Mytilus edulis: one gene and its partner. The protein of the gene in region 2 interacts with the protein of the main gene of each other region in a pairwise test. Links are inferred from orthologs where the notes say so. Each region holds a gene or a part of one and is shown on either strand. Other genes may lie near its edges.

Evidence for each region. The genes of interacting proteins can lie anywhere in the genome.
Region 1: the proteins of kinesin-like protein unc-104 (region 2) and liprin-alpha-1-like interact in binary tests that used the Caenorhabditis elegans proteins (3 or more experiments, as listed by UniProt). The link is inferred for Mytilus edulis from reciprocal best matches to the Caenorhabditis elegans genes unc-104 and syd-2.

Annotation. Positions count from the first base shown.
Region 1 is NC_092350.1:37,967,124-37,975,812, reverse strand, and holds the start of liprin-alpha-1-like, read right to left. Parts: upstream 3,290-8,689; 5' UTR 2,954-3,289; coding exon 2,714-2,953; intron 1-2,713. UniProt on the Caenorhabditis elegans protein: May play a role in regulating the structure of the neuronal region, called the active zone, from which synaptic vesicles send neurotransmitter signals across the synapse. This may be in association with the liprin-beta protein hlb-1.
Region 2 is NC_092356.1:26,930,820-26,939,443, reverse strand, and holds the start of kinesin-like protein unc-104, read right to left. Parts: upstream 3,290-8,624; 5' UTR 3,220-3,289; intron 1-3,219. Other genes in the region: uncharacterized protein, read left to right, coding at 8,454-8,624. UniProt on the Caenorhabditis elegans protein: Motor protein involved in microtubule-associated anterograde transport. Regulates the transport of synaptic vesicle precursors in the axon of DA motor neurons. Regulates the polarized sorting of axonal proteins.

The DNA.
Region 1 (8,689 bases), on a different chromosome or scaffold from region 2:
GAATTAATGGTCATTGAATTTCTTTTGTTGAATCAAGACTTGCATGTACAAATGTACATGTACAATCAATTGAAAAAAAGAAGATAAGCATTTGTAATATTTTACAAGAAAAGAGATTATACATGTAGCTACTAAGAGTGTGTACAGGTGATCAGCTGACCACTGTGGGCAGGTGGAAAAAGCAAAATCTAAATGGGCTGTTGTACATGTATAATCAAAATGCAGCTTCCATAAACATATTTAACCATCAAAATGGCTTAAACTATTATTGGGGTTTTCAAATAATGTTCCAGAGCCTGAGATTTTACAAATTGTGTTAAACATTGATTTCTGATTTGTTACAGTGTAGGAATCTATATTTCTGGCAGATGGGATAAACAACCAAACCTTCCTCCCATTTTTTAAATAACCAAATACTGTATATACATACGCATTGTCTTTTTGTACCCATATAAACTAGTGATGGAATTATGACTATCATCAATCTTTAATACAACAATCAGAATTTTACTATAATTTCTGATTTGTTACATTGTACATTCATTATGTACTTAAAAATCCAGTACTTGTCTTGAGACTTATAATTATTTATAATTAATAACACAGAGTACTAAATCTGACAAATTTGTACATTGTATGTAGTCATGATAAAGGTCTGTGAGCAATTCCTTGTATTCCTCAAGATGGAGTTGAATGGATGTTGCTATTTCAACTCAAAGACCTCTGACAATTGGTTTAGATTTTTCAAAATTTGAATACTATGAGACTATCACATGACTATGAGGAGACTAAGTGAAAAAGGTCTATGTGGAATTCCAGAATTTATGTTTTTTACCAAAAGAGGGTTTGAACATAAATTGACCATTGATGAAACACAGTTCATGAAGTTTATTTTCCCTGTTACATGTAAATACCTGAAGATTCAAATTTTGTTATCCATAATTACAATATACATTTATAGCTTACTATAAAGTATGGGTTTTGTTTGTTGAAGGTAGTAAGATGGTCTGTTGTTACAAAATGTACATGTATTTAAATGTACTTGATATTTCATTTCCTTTGGTCTGTTATTGGAAATTTGTCTCATTGGCAATACTGTACGTAGATCTCCTTATTAATACACACTCCAATCAATCTTCAATTTATCTTTCAAATCTGTTGCTGATGGACTTATTATGCATGGAAGGCAGCGATATAAAATCCAGTGTAACACACATGCAATTAATTAAAAGTTAAGAGTTTTCAAGTAAAAATTACTTTTTTAAGCTTAATGGTGTGACTTTACATTTAGTACTTAATTATAATTAGCCGCTCAAGATAACAATGCTGAATACAGTCTGTCGTTATCTATCATTCTGCATAAATATGATGTAGAAAATGTATAATTCTAATAATATGACTGCACCAGTCAGATTTAATCATTTTGGCAAAAGTAACCCCAAAAATCTCTGGAACATATTAAAGTGTTTCCCCATAGACTTTTTTGATGGCATGGGGAAGGGGTGGCGGTGTCTGAAAGGATGGTGGTCATGAATTTTTAAAAATAGGTTGAAGACTGCCTCCTTTATCATGTTTATGATACCCCCTTGAAATTCATTGTAAATTGTACATGTACATGTATATGTGAATCTGGAAGCTCTTTTCCTTCAACAGAAAGTGATTTGGGAATTCTCATTGAGGATTGAAAATTTCTTATACATGTACATGTAATGAAATTGAGAAAGGAAATGGGCAATGTAACATCAGTTGAAATGATGCAGTAAGATATCGATTTTGTTTAAGCATTATATGACTTTTGTTACTTTCATTTTACAAAATCAATGCATGATCAATTTCTTTTCTAATATGTTTTGTTAATGCATTTAATATATGTACAATGTATGTAAACTTCATTTTACAAAATATGTGAATGCACAATATCTTTCTGTTTAGTTAAATACAATATCAGTACTTTTATATATTTATTGTGTATATATTGAATAAATTTAAAAAATGTTTATCAGAGTTTATCAGGCATATGTGACCAATTGTGGATAGACAGTTAATCCTATTATAGAGGATCTAATCAAGTACACCATCAGGTGTATCAACAATTGGATTTAAACCAATTAATGCAGAAATAACAGCAGGTGTTTTAATATACCTATATAATCCAATTAACTATAAATAGTAAGTCAGATGGCTCTTTGATTTCTCAAAAATTTTGGAAGATAGATATTTAATTTATAGTAACAATGTAAAACATCTGTTTCAAATTTTTTACTCAAAAGAGATTAAGATCCCAATTACAGTGCAAAAAATCTGTATTAGAAAGCTCAAAAATTAAAAACAATAAATCCATATTACTTGAAAAATTGTATTAGAAACAATATTTTTTTCATTAACTCCATTATGTTTATTGAAATTTGAATACACAAATTTATTGGTAAATATTGGATTTCATATGTAAAGGAAATAATATTTTATTATCAATTTCTAACTTTAAAGATTATTCGATTTACAACTCTATAAAAAATGTAAAATGTAAGTCTTTAACTTCTGACTACACATTTTCCTTAAAATCTCATAGTAAAAATTTTATGAATGAAATATCCCAAGGCTGGGTTAATGTATACAAAATGGCTGTTTTGAATCTATTCTTGTAAAAGATGATGTCAGTTTTTAATACATAATAATGTATTTAAATGAAATGGGCGTGACTTGAATGTTTTACCTGAGGGGTAGTGGAATTAAGTTGGTTTTGGAGAGCATCTCTCTCCCTTTCAACATCTTGTAGTTTGGCTTGTGTTAATGATAACGTATCTTTAGTTTCTCTCAAATTTTCCATCAACTTATCTCGCTCATCCAGCATGTTTACCATCAAGTGTTCAAAGTTAGCATCATCACCCGAACACTGCGACTCGCCATCGTTCGAACCGTCCTCAGAAATCGTCGGCATAACATCACAACTCATTTTGAAATTTTTCCTGTTATTTAATCCAAATCAAAAGTGACATTCATAAAACAAATATCGGTTTTTCTACCGGTGATGTCAATAGCATCCCGGGTTACTTACGATCCTCGAATTTAGTTAGTGGTTTATAAAATTATCACTACATATTTTCACTATAATTTACGGTCCAAACAACAGAATGGTGTTTTCTTTTCGCCTCGTATGACAAAAATTCCATGCATATTTACTTGTCATGTCTAAATGTTTTGATTTTTAAATGACCCATCACATCTTATTTAGAAGCCATATTTCTTTTTCTAAAAGTGTGTCATTACCCACAATTCATTGGAATAAGTCATCGCAAGGGAAGTAACTCTAACCATTTATTCTTTTAATATTAGGCCAAAGTAAAATATATTTGGTTCATAGATATTGATGCATCTAGACTGTTACGTCAACAATATATAGCTGCGAGTCAGTGAAATAAATTCTTTTCTAATTTGTGTAGTAATTTGTAAACAAAAACAAAAGGTACCATTTGATAGGTCAATATAATAAAAAAAAAATATTAGTCGAAGAAAATTAGACAATGTAACTATTTTTAAAATTCCCGTATAAAGTTATGTTTGCTTGTTTGTTAGACAGTCCTATATAGTTTCTTCTTGTATTTCTTGTCTTGATGGCCATCTCTACTGTTTACAATTTCTAGCTATTTAATAAACTTTCCGGGATGACTGTGAAAATAACAATAGATAGGCCTATAGTAAGAATCTTGCTATACATGCAAATCAGATTCCTTGTATATAGTAAAAAAAAAAATCGTTATTCAAGGCTGTGAATCAGTAGTATATAATTATATTATGTTCCAGTTTATCAGTTTATAAAAAAATACTCCAAAGAATGTAAAAATGTCCTCTGGTGCAGTAACTCCCACAAATACTCATGCATGCAGTTGGTCAATTTTGATTGGTACAAATATTTGTTCCAACAGGAATAGATATTACGACAATGTTTATAACAAAGTTAAATTTCTATTAGAACTTCTGTTAGGCGGAATAAATATACGTTGTCAGCTCAACAAATTTGTTTTCCTATTTATTTGGTTCAAAGTTCTGCAGATGGTATAAAAAAGGGTAAATATCCTCTTACAATGGCATTAACTCTAATAAGGGGTTAGTTGGCAATTTCAGCCATTTGCACATCTCATTTCTGGGTACAGATGATCGGGCGCAGTACGTTTACGCGCATTTGGGAATTACAATGTTTTACGTTTGCGCGCATCTTTTGATTACATTTGCGCGCATTCATTTCACAGGTAATCTCAGGTAAAAATATAAATAAAGATATATTAAATTATAAATGACGATATTTTTTTGGTATTTTCATAATAGATATGACTATCAATTATTACTTTTGAAAATAGTTTCTTAATTCAAATTATATATTGTTCATATTGAATTCTAAAACCAATTTTAAACCTCGTTATAGCTTAAGGTCAAGTAACAATAAATGGGCTTTGTCACAGATTTCTTAAAATTTTGCATACACCTTTGACTTATTGAATTATATCCGAAAATCAAAAAAATATGCGGCTTTATCTCCTTATAATTACATTAGATGTATGTTTCATTATAATCCTTTATTCTGATTGGCTAACTGCACATCACATGTTATTCCTTAAGCAATTGCATTACTCAATAAAACTTTTCATTCAGGATAACACGTGGTCCCACAATAAAGTGCACAGGTGAATTAAATAAAAAAATTATAAAATTCGTGGTTTCTGGTTCATAGCTAAAAAATGTAATTATAAGTATTGAATGCTTCTTTTTGTAACTTTATAGGGTTGTAAAAGCTAGCGTTGACCGTAGGTACATTTTTAGAATGAAGCGCTTCCGCGCTTCATACAAAATGTACTTCGGTCAACGCTTTTACACCCCAATAAAGTTACAAAAAGAAGCATTCAATTCTTAAATAAATAAATAAGTATCTTTACCTGTATTTTACCTGAGTTTACCTGTTAAAAGGATGCGCACAAATGTAATCAAAAGCTGCGCACAAACTTAATGATTTTGGCACGCAAATGTAATGGTAATGCGCGCAAACGTAATGCACCGAGATGATCTATTATAGCTGTTAAAAAAATGGCTAAAAATCGTTTATAATGGCAATAACTCTTATAAACAACAATCATTCGACGATTGTTAACCTATATGTATAGACCTTTTTGTTCTTGTGTTTTTAACCTTTAAAAGAATATAACAATTTGTAAATTTCGTTCGATCATTCCGCTTTTTCTTGAATTACTATTAAAAGATTCTCTCTATCCATAATAGTTTTAAAGATTTTAAGATAATAACTAAACAAACTATGAAATTTACTAAAAAGTACATTTCATGGTCAAATATTCTAAATTGGGTTGTCCTAGTTTGCTAAAAAAAAAATAATCATGGTGCAAAGAACTTCACAAGCTGATTAATTTTAGTCGATTCCTGTCCTGCTCTAACTACTTTGATCTTTGAGATATAATCCAAAGACTGCATATTACCTATACGTTGTATGTATAGAACCTGCATCCATTTTTAAATTCAAATCCCCATGTACAGTTTTAAACTAGAGTCCCTGGAACGGTAATTATTTTTTTTAAAGAAAATTTGAATTAAAAAAAATGGTGAAATAAGCTCTTGAATCTCTTCCCATACAATGGATAATCTATAAAATGAGAGGAATCTGGACAAGAAAAAAACTGCATATAATATAAAAGGGAACAAAAGAAGCAGGAAATGAGGGATTAGGACAAAAATGTGACAAGAATCACATAAATCAATAGAAACTGAACTATGATAATAAAAGCACATAACTAGTTTGTTGAAAATATGATAGTGGATATCATACAAGCTACGTTGGGGATATATAACCACAAACAAAGTTACTGAACATTTTAAAAATAGCAGTTCAGCAGACAACATGGTGTTATAATCTTAATCCCTAAAAAAACAAACAAAAAAGAACCATTGGTGAACTTGGACTGTTTTCTGCTCTTCCTCAAGAAAAACAATATGGCATACATGCAAAGCACTTAAGCAAAAATGAAAGACAACACCACATTGGCGGGATGTATAAATACCGAGCAACGTCAAAAGGATGTTACCAAAAATGGATTAAGTGATTGTTGGTACCTATTAAAACGTTAAAACCTGCTGCAATCGTTTGCACCTGTCCTAAGTCAGGAATCTGATGCGCTGTATAGTTGTCGTTTGTTGATTTGGTTCATAAGTGTTTCTTGTTTCTCGTTTTTTTATATAAATTAGGCCGTTGGTTTTCCCTTTTGGATAGTTTTACATTAGTAATTTTTGGGGGCCTTTGTAGCGTGCTGTTCGGTGTGAGCCAAAGCTCCGTGTTGAAGACCGTACTTTGACCTATAATGGTTTACTTTTATACATTGTGACTTGGATGGAGAGTTGTCTCATTGGCACTCCTCATATCACATCTTCTTATATCTAGAAACAGTCAATGTTAATTGTTTTCACAGACAAATAAAGAACACAACAAACAAGTCAGTACCTATTATCTATACTTTAAGGCCATCATATATATTATTTTTGAAGTTAATACGAAATATTTATCAACAAAGTCTTAGTATCTTTCGATGAACTTTATTTTAGAGAAAGGACGACACGTTCTGTGACATAACCCTGGTTCTTCAACTTTCTGCTCAGACACTGATGACGTTTTATAAAGTCTGGGTAGCAAGCTCGACATCTTGAATACATGTGAAATCGATAATTTCAAATTAAAATCGTCTCGTTTGTCATAGATTCTGGCACCGAAACAATCTAATTAAAATATTGATCTCTGATTACGTTATACTACATATGAGTATAACGTAATCAGAGATCAATATTTTAATTAGATTGGCACCGAAATTACCTTTTATGTCAAATTCGATGTATTAGTCTTCAAATCAGGCGGAGAAAGCCATGTCTATTGTTTCTTTAGTTTCTAACTCTGGAGGATATATTAATGAATCCAATCAGAAAAGTTTGGATTGTTAATGGAAAGAACATCCTCAATATATCTGAATGTGAAATTAAATGATCTGGTTTCTTTGATCTTCTTGTTTTTGACAAGTGCCTGCAGGAACTCCGACTCATATGAAGATAAGAAGAGGTAGGCAAGGAGAGGCGCACATTTTGTTTCCATAGGAATGCCGATAATTTGTTGGAAAGTCTACCTCCAACTTTAACAAATATGTTGTCAATAAGAAACTCCAGCAAGCTGATCACTTGTTCTTCTGTGTAACCTGTTTGACCTTTTTGTTCACTATAAAAAAAAATGTCATATAGTATCCCAAAGTAATGAATTTATAGCGTATTCTATCATTTTTATAATGAAAAGGAGTGTGGAAAATTTCTTTAAGACGATCTTCCAATTTCACATCGGGAATGATGGTATACAAGATTGAAAACTGAAAAGTTTTGATATAACTAATTTCGGAGAAAGATAGAAATAAAAATTAGCCGAAAGATATTTAGATTTTTTTTAGAATCCTGATATGGCTAATACCACTACGCGAGTAAACAGTTTCACAGTATTTCTGAATACCTTCTTTCACTGCGGACGCAATTTTTGTGTCAATCTGACAGACAATTCCGTTGTAGCAAATGCAGATAAGCCGCGGCAATATACTATTTTTTGTACGAAATTTTGTGAAGCTTAGGTATCCAAAACTAACAAGATAATTCCTCAGATTTGCTGGTAAACATAATTTTCGATGCAGCCATGGTGGTCTTATGATGCGCCAAAATCTCATCATTGGTGGGATTACCTAGTGAGTGCTCATTTATTCCTTATTCCTTTTAATTTACAAGACACCCATAGAAAAACTATGTTCAAACAAAGACAATATCATTTTAACCTTATTCCGCAGGAACAACAGCTTTATCGTGAAGAGAACAATACATGTTATAGATATAGGAGGATGTGGTATGAGTGCCAATGAGACAACTCTCCATCCAAATAACAATTTATAAAAGTATACCATTATAAGTCAAGGTACAGCCTTCAACACGGAGCCTTGGCTAACACCGAAATACAAGCTATAAAAGGCCCCCAAAACAACTAGTGTAAAACCATTCAAACGGGAAAACCAACGGTCTAATCGAGAGAAAAAAAACGAGAAACGAGAAACGAGAAACACATATAAATTACATAAACAAACGACAACTACTGTACATCAGAATCCGAATGTAAGGCTAGTTGTACAGTAACATCAAACCAGAACGTACCTAACTAGTTTGCGGTCCATATTAGAGTAAAGCAAAGTCCCTTTTACCAACTAGGACATTATTAAAGATATATAAAAAAAATATTGAAATACAATAGAGCACGACTCATTATTTTGTATAATTTTAAAAATCGCGATATGTAACTCAAATTCGATTTGCACTGAAACTCACACCTCTACTGAAGGAAACACAAACGGCCATAACATCAACCGACTACCATTAACCAGGCTAGGAATAAACTAGGACTATTATAATAGTCCCAGAAATAAACACAAAGTGAAACATGTTTTACCTAGTATATAATCTTGATCAATGAAATAATAATAAAAAAAGAACGCAAAAGCATATATGTACATTAAAAGTCTATTAAGAATAAGTACTGCAGACGGAAGAAAGAGAAAACGTGTACACGGTACACAAGTTAAACATTTCTCAGTAATACCACATCAAATAATACTCAATTTAACGG
Region 2 (8,624 bases):
AAACTCTGAATCATACACAAGAAACTAACATTAAAAAATCATACAAGACTAACAAAGGCCATGCAAAAGCTCCTGACTTGAGAAAGGCGCAAAATTGCGGCGGGGTTAAACATGTTTATGAGATCTCAACCCTCCCCTATATACCTCTATCCAATGTAGAAATCAAAGAGCTGATAGCTCTGAAGTGGAAGGTGAATAAAAGGTAACTTGAATTACCATAAAAGCAGCCCCACTTACCCAGGCTGCTTTGTTCCATTATCGTTAAAATGTATTTTTTTTCTTCAAACAAGAAAAGGTCATAAGTACATGGATTTCCCATCCATACAATCATTTTCTATGTTCAGTTGACTATGAAAATTAGGTAAAATCTTTAATTTGGCAGTAATTAAGAAGATCATATCAAGAGGAACACATGTGTACTAAGTTTCAAGTTGATTGGATTTCAACTTCATCAAAAACTACCTCGACCATAAACTTTATAACCAGAAGCAGGACGGACGGACAGACTAGAAAACATATTGCCCATAAATGGAGCATAAAAATAGTAAGACTTGTTACATACCTGCCAACTTTTGAAAGTTCCCATATGGGTTTTTACTGCACAACAATTTTAAAGGTTACAATTTTTAGGGACGTATTTTGCAAGATCTGGATTGTCTAGAAAAAGTGTCATATTTGTATGATGAACTTACATGCCTTTTCCTTAAGTCTGTTTGCATGATTCTAGTTATATATTAAATCGGTAGAAAAAATATACATGAAGCTAGCAGACCAGGGTTTATTTTCCAGATTAAGAATTTTAGATGCTTGTTGAAATTTCCAATTTTGAATTATGCACAAAGATGGACCTTTAACAGGTTGGGAACAACACTCCAAATGAGGGTAACCTAACTGGAAGATCATCACAACCCACTGTAAAAAATGAACACAAAATAGAATTTTTCAATAAAATGCTGAAAATAGGCTTTAAAGTATTAAAATGCATTGCAAAAAACAAATATTTCATTAAATAAATTTAAGTAGAATATTCCTATGATATTCCTTTTCATATTGGATACAAATTTTATTGAGTCTACTGCAGACACTTTGTAGTCAAAGTGTTTCAACTGAGGTACTACACAGGCGTCAAAAGGCGTCATTATGGAGTAAAGGGGTGGCGTCAAAAAGCGTCATTATGGAGGAAAGGGTTAAGTACTGATTGGTCAAAACATCATGTTTTTTTATCGACATAAATTTTGTCATAAATGTAACCAAATGATGTAGAAATTGTGTTTTTTCTTCAAATTTCCATCAAATTGTAATGTTTATAGTTCCATTATTGCCTCTCTATTTGAATAAAATAAAATAATAAGAAGAATCTGTTTCTTGTTTTGTTTTGTTTTTGACAAATGATTGTTCACTGCTAGCAAATGAATCATTATATTTATATATCTTATCTGTATATATTTTTGTTCATGTCTTCATCTCCTTATCATTTGTAAATGTATAGACAAATAAGAAAGAAATTAGCTCCACAAGTATATTTGCAACATCGTAAATTAATTATAAACACATTCTGTTGTAAACAAAATTATGATATAAACTTCAATTTAATCCTTGAAAGGAGGTCTAGATTGCTAAAATAATTTATAAATTTTAATTTTTTTATTTGTCCAAAATCATTTAAATTCATTTAATCAACATCCTTTTATGATTATTTGATTAAAATATTAATCATTTATAGTCTTTTTACAATTTACATTTTTTAAAGCAAAATAACTGAAAACAGGATAAAACAAAGGGAAGTAACAAAAAAGTATTTCAATATTCCCAATACACATCGTTTTGATAACACAACGGCAGTTAGCCGGAGGTAAACATCGTTGATTACCAGTATGTTTGACACCCAAGCTGTCAAGTGAAGCCATATAATTATACATCTTCTTTGATGTTCAGGTAAAATTTAACACAGGTGTCAATTACACCCGTACAGTAGTAAGAAATGATCAAATATGGCGTCTGAAAAATTTCATACACGGGAGTTTTTTCTCCTAAAGGGGAGGTTCACATGTATGTTACGAAGGGCATCTAATTCACATGACAAAGGAAAACCATGAATAAAGACAACACTTTATATATCCTTTTTATTTATATAAAAACAAAATCTTCTTGTCTGCAGGATTGCAAATTCGTAACTTCAAGGGCGAACTTGTAAACAGGGCGAGTTGTCCCGATACCAAATTCACGCATGCGTAATACAAATATCTACAGTTAAAACATCCTGTTACAAGTAAACAAATAACGTTCATGTGGATGAGATGAAATCTAATAATTTACATAAATAAAAGGGTCATATTTACGATAGTGATTGTTTTACAATCATAATTTACAAATTAAATGATTCAGATGCCTAATCATGTGTAAAAATCAAAATCGGTGTCAGGAATCTAAGTTGTTTTGAAATTGTAATACACGAAATGAATGCGGCATACGGAGACTCAATGCCAATGGTCAGCCCCTTAAGTCTTCAGAAGACTTGACGTCTTCTTCCACTAAAAACAAACGCACAACACTACGCATAGTAAAACTCAGTTTAAGAGATGTCCGAGTTCGATTTCATAATCCATGGAGGAAATACTATAAAAACATCAAAAAATTGTATGTTACACTTGCATGTATTGTAAATATAAGAAAATTTCTTCAACTTTTATTATTTAGTACATATTACCAGTCCCATCGAACATTGCTGTTTTTCATGTAACAATAAAGCAAATATGTAACCGTAGCCTCAATTATTATTGTTACATTCGTAATTAATCGGTTCCTTATCCAACCATGCATTCCGGCATTTAGTCCCCAATGTAACAATAATATTTTTATTATTCACATCATGTAACCGTAGCCAGTGCCTTCTAAAATTTGGGTTGGGCCCCTAAAACTTTTATGAAAATGCCCATAGACTAGTGCTTCTCTTAATTTTAATATTTTGGCAAGTTTGGCTCCAAGTCAGAAAATGTTACTCTTATTCCCTGGCAGCCCGACACTGGGACCTCTGTTCGAACTCTTTGGAATATTGACCGATTGATGGAAAATGCAACTGTCAGCCTCAGGACAAGGTCAAAAAATTCTCCCGTCTTTCTGCTTAATATCTTGTTTCTTAACTTATACGTTATCTTGACCATGTATGTGTTTCATAAATCAGTGTGTTTGCAGTGTGAAATGTTTTAATCTGTGTGTTACCATTTTATGAATTTGCGATGACCATCGATAAATTTTCTATCAGTCGTTTCAACAACTTCCGGTAATGATCAAGGGACCATCTCAAAGTTATTATTCTTCATAAGTTCATCTAGTATAATTTTCCGACTTTTTTTTATACCGAACATGCGAATATTTGTCAAGGATTGAAGTTAATATAGTAATAATACGAAGGGAAAAACGACAAAGCAAGCCGTATGTGTGTTTATTTTTGTTTTAAACGCCCATATATGAGCCTCCTCATCATGTGTTTTTTTTACTTTTTTATATTATGTGATTATACTGCCATCTTTTTAGTGATTATTTGATTACCAGACCAAATACAGTAATTATTTGATTATTTGATAATCTATGACTTTATTTTTGATTACTTGATTATTTTTTTTTTTAATAAAATTGATTATGTGATTACATGGCAAAAACAATGTGATTATGTGACTACTTTGACACCCCATGGCATGCCTCTTATATCGCTCTGTATCCCGTCAACTGGGGCTACAAAAACATGGGTTGTGTACCTCTATAAAGGTTCGTGCATATACCAACCGTGGTTATTGAACACTCTCCAGCATTCATGATTGTCACGGAATCCATGACAAAAAAAAAAAAAAATTTGTTGATCTTGTAGTCAGTTTTGCTGATCTTTTTTGTTTCTCTGTTACAGCTTCTCTCTGTCTTCTTTAATATTGCCCAATATACAAAAAAGGGGTAACAAGTTGCAAGGATTTCAAAAGTCTCACTATACAAATCCTTGCAAATGGTTATTTTACCACAATTAAACCTATAAATAGTCTACTAACGATTTCAATATTATTTGACTAATTTGCGGCAAAATTTGCCGTGCTGATAATTTTGCTACATTGCATTGAAAGTATAAAAAAAAGAAGATGTTGTATGATTGCAAATTAGTCAACTCTCAACAAGAGACCAAAATGACACAGATATCAACAACTATTATCAGGACTATTATTATTATAGGACACCGTACGGCTTTAACAATGAGCAAAGCCCATACCGCAGTCAGCTATAAAAGCCAAGGCGCCGAAATGACAATGTAAAACAATTCAAACGAGAAAACTAACGGCCTAAGTGTATATTTATCTTTGACAATTTTCAAGATAATAGTAAAAAAGGTTTAATATTGGTAAATATTGTCATTAATGAGCATGGTTTTGTGATATATAGCCTTCCAGTAAATTTAGATTTCTTAGTGGCCATCTATGATATGGATAATAGTTGGAAAGACTATAATTATAAGAGGCAGAACACTAAAAATGTATAATTTTTTTTAGTAAAGAGCACAATCTTTTTAAAATAAGTTCATATATAAAAAATCGAGGAGCAAGTGATGTGAACTTATTTTGATAAGATTGTAAAGAGCAACAACTCCAACGAAGAGTGAGCTGGAGATTTCGGTCAGAATAAATTTGACAATGGAAATGGGGAATGTGTCAAAGAGACAACAACCCGACCATAGACTAAGAGCAGACAACAGCCGATCAGAAGACTTGTTAGTATATCTTAGTTTAAACGGTATTTATTAATGAAAAATTACAAGAATAAAATTATACTGTACAATACAATAATGTTACATGAAGTTCAAATATGGGATTCGGAAAAACTTATACAAATCCGTCCCCCCCCCCCAAAAAAAACCCCCACCATCTATTTAACAAAAAACATCACGTGCCAACAGTAGATTCTGTTTGAGGTAGCATATGATGAATTGAATAAATACACACACACACAAATACAACTAACAAATAAAATAAATTAAGATAAAGAAAATGGTAGATCTTATCTTGCAGATTGTGAAAAATGCACAATTGTAACCCTAGCCGTATTAGGCACAACTTTTTGGAACTTTTGGTCCTCAATGCTCTTCAACTTTGTATTGGTTTTGGCTTTTTTCATCTGAGCGTCACTGGTTAGTCTTGTGTGGACTATTAATCGGGCGTCTGGCGTATTAAATTTTAAACCTGGTACCTTTTGTTAGCTATTATTCGTATGTTTCTCTGTCCTATATGTTCTCCCATTTATTTGTATTGTAGTCCCGTCATGTAATGTTGTCATTTTAATGTTATATTTAACATTGCAATAAAAGTGGGAGGTTTAGCATGCCACAAAACCAGGTTCAACCCACCATAGTTTTCTTAATGTCCCGTACCAAGTCAAAAAAATGGCCATTGTTATATTATAGTTCGTTTCTATGTGTGTTGTGTTTCTGTTGTGTCGTAGTTATCCTCTTATATTTGATGTTTTTCCTCAGCATTAGTTTGTAGCCCTAATTTGTTTGTTTTTTTCAATCGATTTATGAATTTCTAACAGCGGTATACTACTGTTGCCTTTTTTTCTCCATAGGCGGTGATGGTAATGTTTTCTTCCGCAGCTCAGTCCGTATCCTAAACCTGGATATGTATGATGGCTCGTCAATCGAAGCTGAGACATTTTTACAGTATATGGTCAGTTAATTTTCAGGGTACGTAGTGTCATTCATTTTCCCGTAAATTAACATACATTTGTACCTCGAAAATCCTTTCGTGATGCGGCTCTTTATGGTGAAAAATCCCTTAATGTTTTACACGATAAGTTCTTTGAAAGGAGTAGGTCCGGTAAGGGCCGATTTTGGCCTCAAATTTCAGGTTCATCTGAAGAAAGATTTTGGACACTTTTTAAACACTTAAGTGTCTATTTCAGTTGATTCAATTAGTTTATCTGAAAGATTTTAACTGATTTTGTCATTAAAAACGCTCCGATTCAAGCTTTAATATGGAAAATCTATCAAATATGCCAAAAAATGTCACTTTTCAGATGGTTTTTGTCAAAATTGAAAGTGGCCGCATCCGTGTTCATCATATGTTATGTATTATCATCAAATACAACTTACATTTCATTATTAAGAATGAACAAAATTGCGGCCACTTTCATTTTTAGACGAAAACCGTCTAAAATTTAATTAAAATGCTAAAATTATGAAAATTTCAGTAATTTAGCATGACTTTATGATGCTAATACCTGATATATGTGCATTGTATTGTCAAAAACTGCACATATTTATGGAGCAGAAACATTGTCTTTTCAAATAAGTAACGAACAGTTTACATTTTAACAATTTTGTAAAACTGCTATATTTTGGGGCCAAAAAGAGGTCTTACTGGACCTTCTCCTTTAATACTTTGAATACATTTGATAATTCCATGGTTTTTACAAATTTATTCAATGGTCCTCTACTTTCCAAATCAACACAAATGATTAAGATCAGTCACTTGTTAAAAATCACAAACACGTCCAATATCACACACAACACACAGATATTTTGTTTACACACAACTGTTGGAGGCGCATTAGGGATATTGACCCAGATCATTTTTGCTTATTTCAGTTTCTATCTTTCTATTATAGCCTTTCCAGATATTCAAATAAAAGGCAAATTTTGGTCATAATCGTCACTAAAGGACAATAACTCCAAGAGAAGAGATCGCTCGTGTCCTGCTGATAATTTTTGCTTATTTAAGCCGTACGTATCTATTATCTATCTATTTATAGTTTTTTCCCAGATATTCGACAAAATTGAAAAACATTGATAAAAACCATGACCATGCTACCTTATTGTAGATATAGTCTCGTTGATCATTTCTGCTCATTGAAGTTCTCTCTATCTATTACAATTTTCATGGTAATATACAAAAATATAAAAAAAAAATGGTAAAATTCGTCACTGAAGGACATAAACTTCTTCTGACAGTTTTGTTGTAAACAGGCAATAGAAAATCTCATCATTTGAACATTTCTGACAAGCACCCATCAAACCTATATCAGCGGTTTTTAAGATAATACAAAAAAGTGCATTGTGTGTACCCCGATGTTCTTTTTTTTAGACATATTTTGGCCATGTTGGTTGGAAATCTTTTTTATAAACAAGATACCCTTATAATCAAGGATTTGTATAGTAAGACTTACTATACAAATCCTTGTTATAATGGATTAGACCAAGTTTTATTAAATTTGGCTTAGTAGTTTCAGAGGAGAGGTTTTTTGTTCAAGTTCAAGTAAATTGATGACGGACGCCTTGGGTGGTGAGAAAAGCTATAACTTACCTCCTTAGGCTAGGTGAGATAAAAAGGGAACCAGAATACTTATGTCTGACTGTAGTAGATGATTATCCATCCCTTTTCACTATTCATATTTTTTGGGACATGTAAAGACGTGGAGGCCACGGGCCTTTCTACAACTTTGTGGGATACTATAATATAGGACTTGTAAAGGACCATTTCATTTCATTTTATATTTTCAGTGGACTGTGAAAATGGGATAAAAATATAATTTGACATTAAAAGTAGAAAGATCATAGCATAGGGAACATGTATACTAAGTTTCAAGTTGATTGGATTTCAGCCTCATCAAAAACTACCTGGGTTGTCCAAAAACTTTCACCTGAAGCGGGACAAACAGACAGATGAACGAAAGGACACACAGACCAACAAACATAATGCCCTAGCTAAGTGGGGGCATAATGATTAGGTACATGATTGAGGACCTCACGTCCAAAAATATTTAAATACCAACCATCATCAAACAGCGTATGAAACGCATCCTGGTACAGTTTCAACATTGCTGGTTCATATGAACCCCACTGTCCCAGGTTAGGGGGAGGGTTGGGATCCCGCTAACATGTTTAACCCTGTCACATTATTTATGTATGTGCCTGTCCCAAGTCAGGAGCCTGTAATTCAGTGGTTGTCGTTTGTTTATGTGTTACATTTTTGTTTTTCATTTCTTTTTTTTACATAAATAAGGCCGTTAGTTTTCTCGTTTGAATTGTTTTACATTGTCTTATCGGGGCCTATTATAGCTGACTATACGGTATGGGCTTTGCTCATTGTTGAAGGCCGTACGGTGACCTTTAGTTGTTAATGTCTGTGTCATTTTGGTCTTTTGTGGATACTTGTCTCATTGGCAATCATACCACATCTTCTTTTTTATATCTTTTGAAGTAAAATATAAAAAACAAATATTTGCATTCATTCTCGTCAACCATCCACTCAATCAATTAATTATAAGGGAATTATAAGGTAAACTGAATTGTTAGTTAACTTTTTATACACTTGCGTATTCATAATGACTTTTGAGAATCTCCCTACCAAAAACCTTAAAAGGGTTGTACTATAAAACTGGTACAAAATGGCAGTAGGGTACCAGTTGAAAAAGGGTTCAAAATGGAGACTACTCAACCAAAAGGGAGAAACAAACATTTCGTTCTAAAGAAAAGAAGACGTAGGACAATAATTAATTCCAAAGACCTTGAAAAACTGGAAAGTTTATTCAAAACATCCAAATGGCCAGACAGGGCTCAAAAAGTAAGATTGTCGAAAGCAATAGGGAAAACT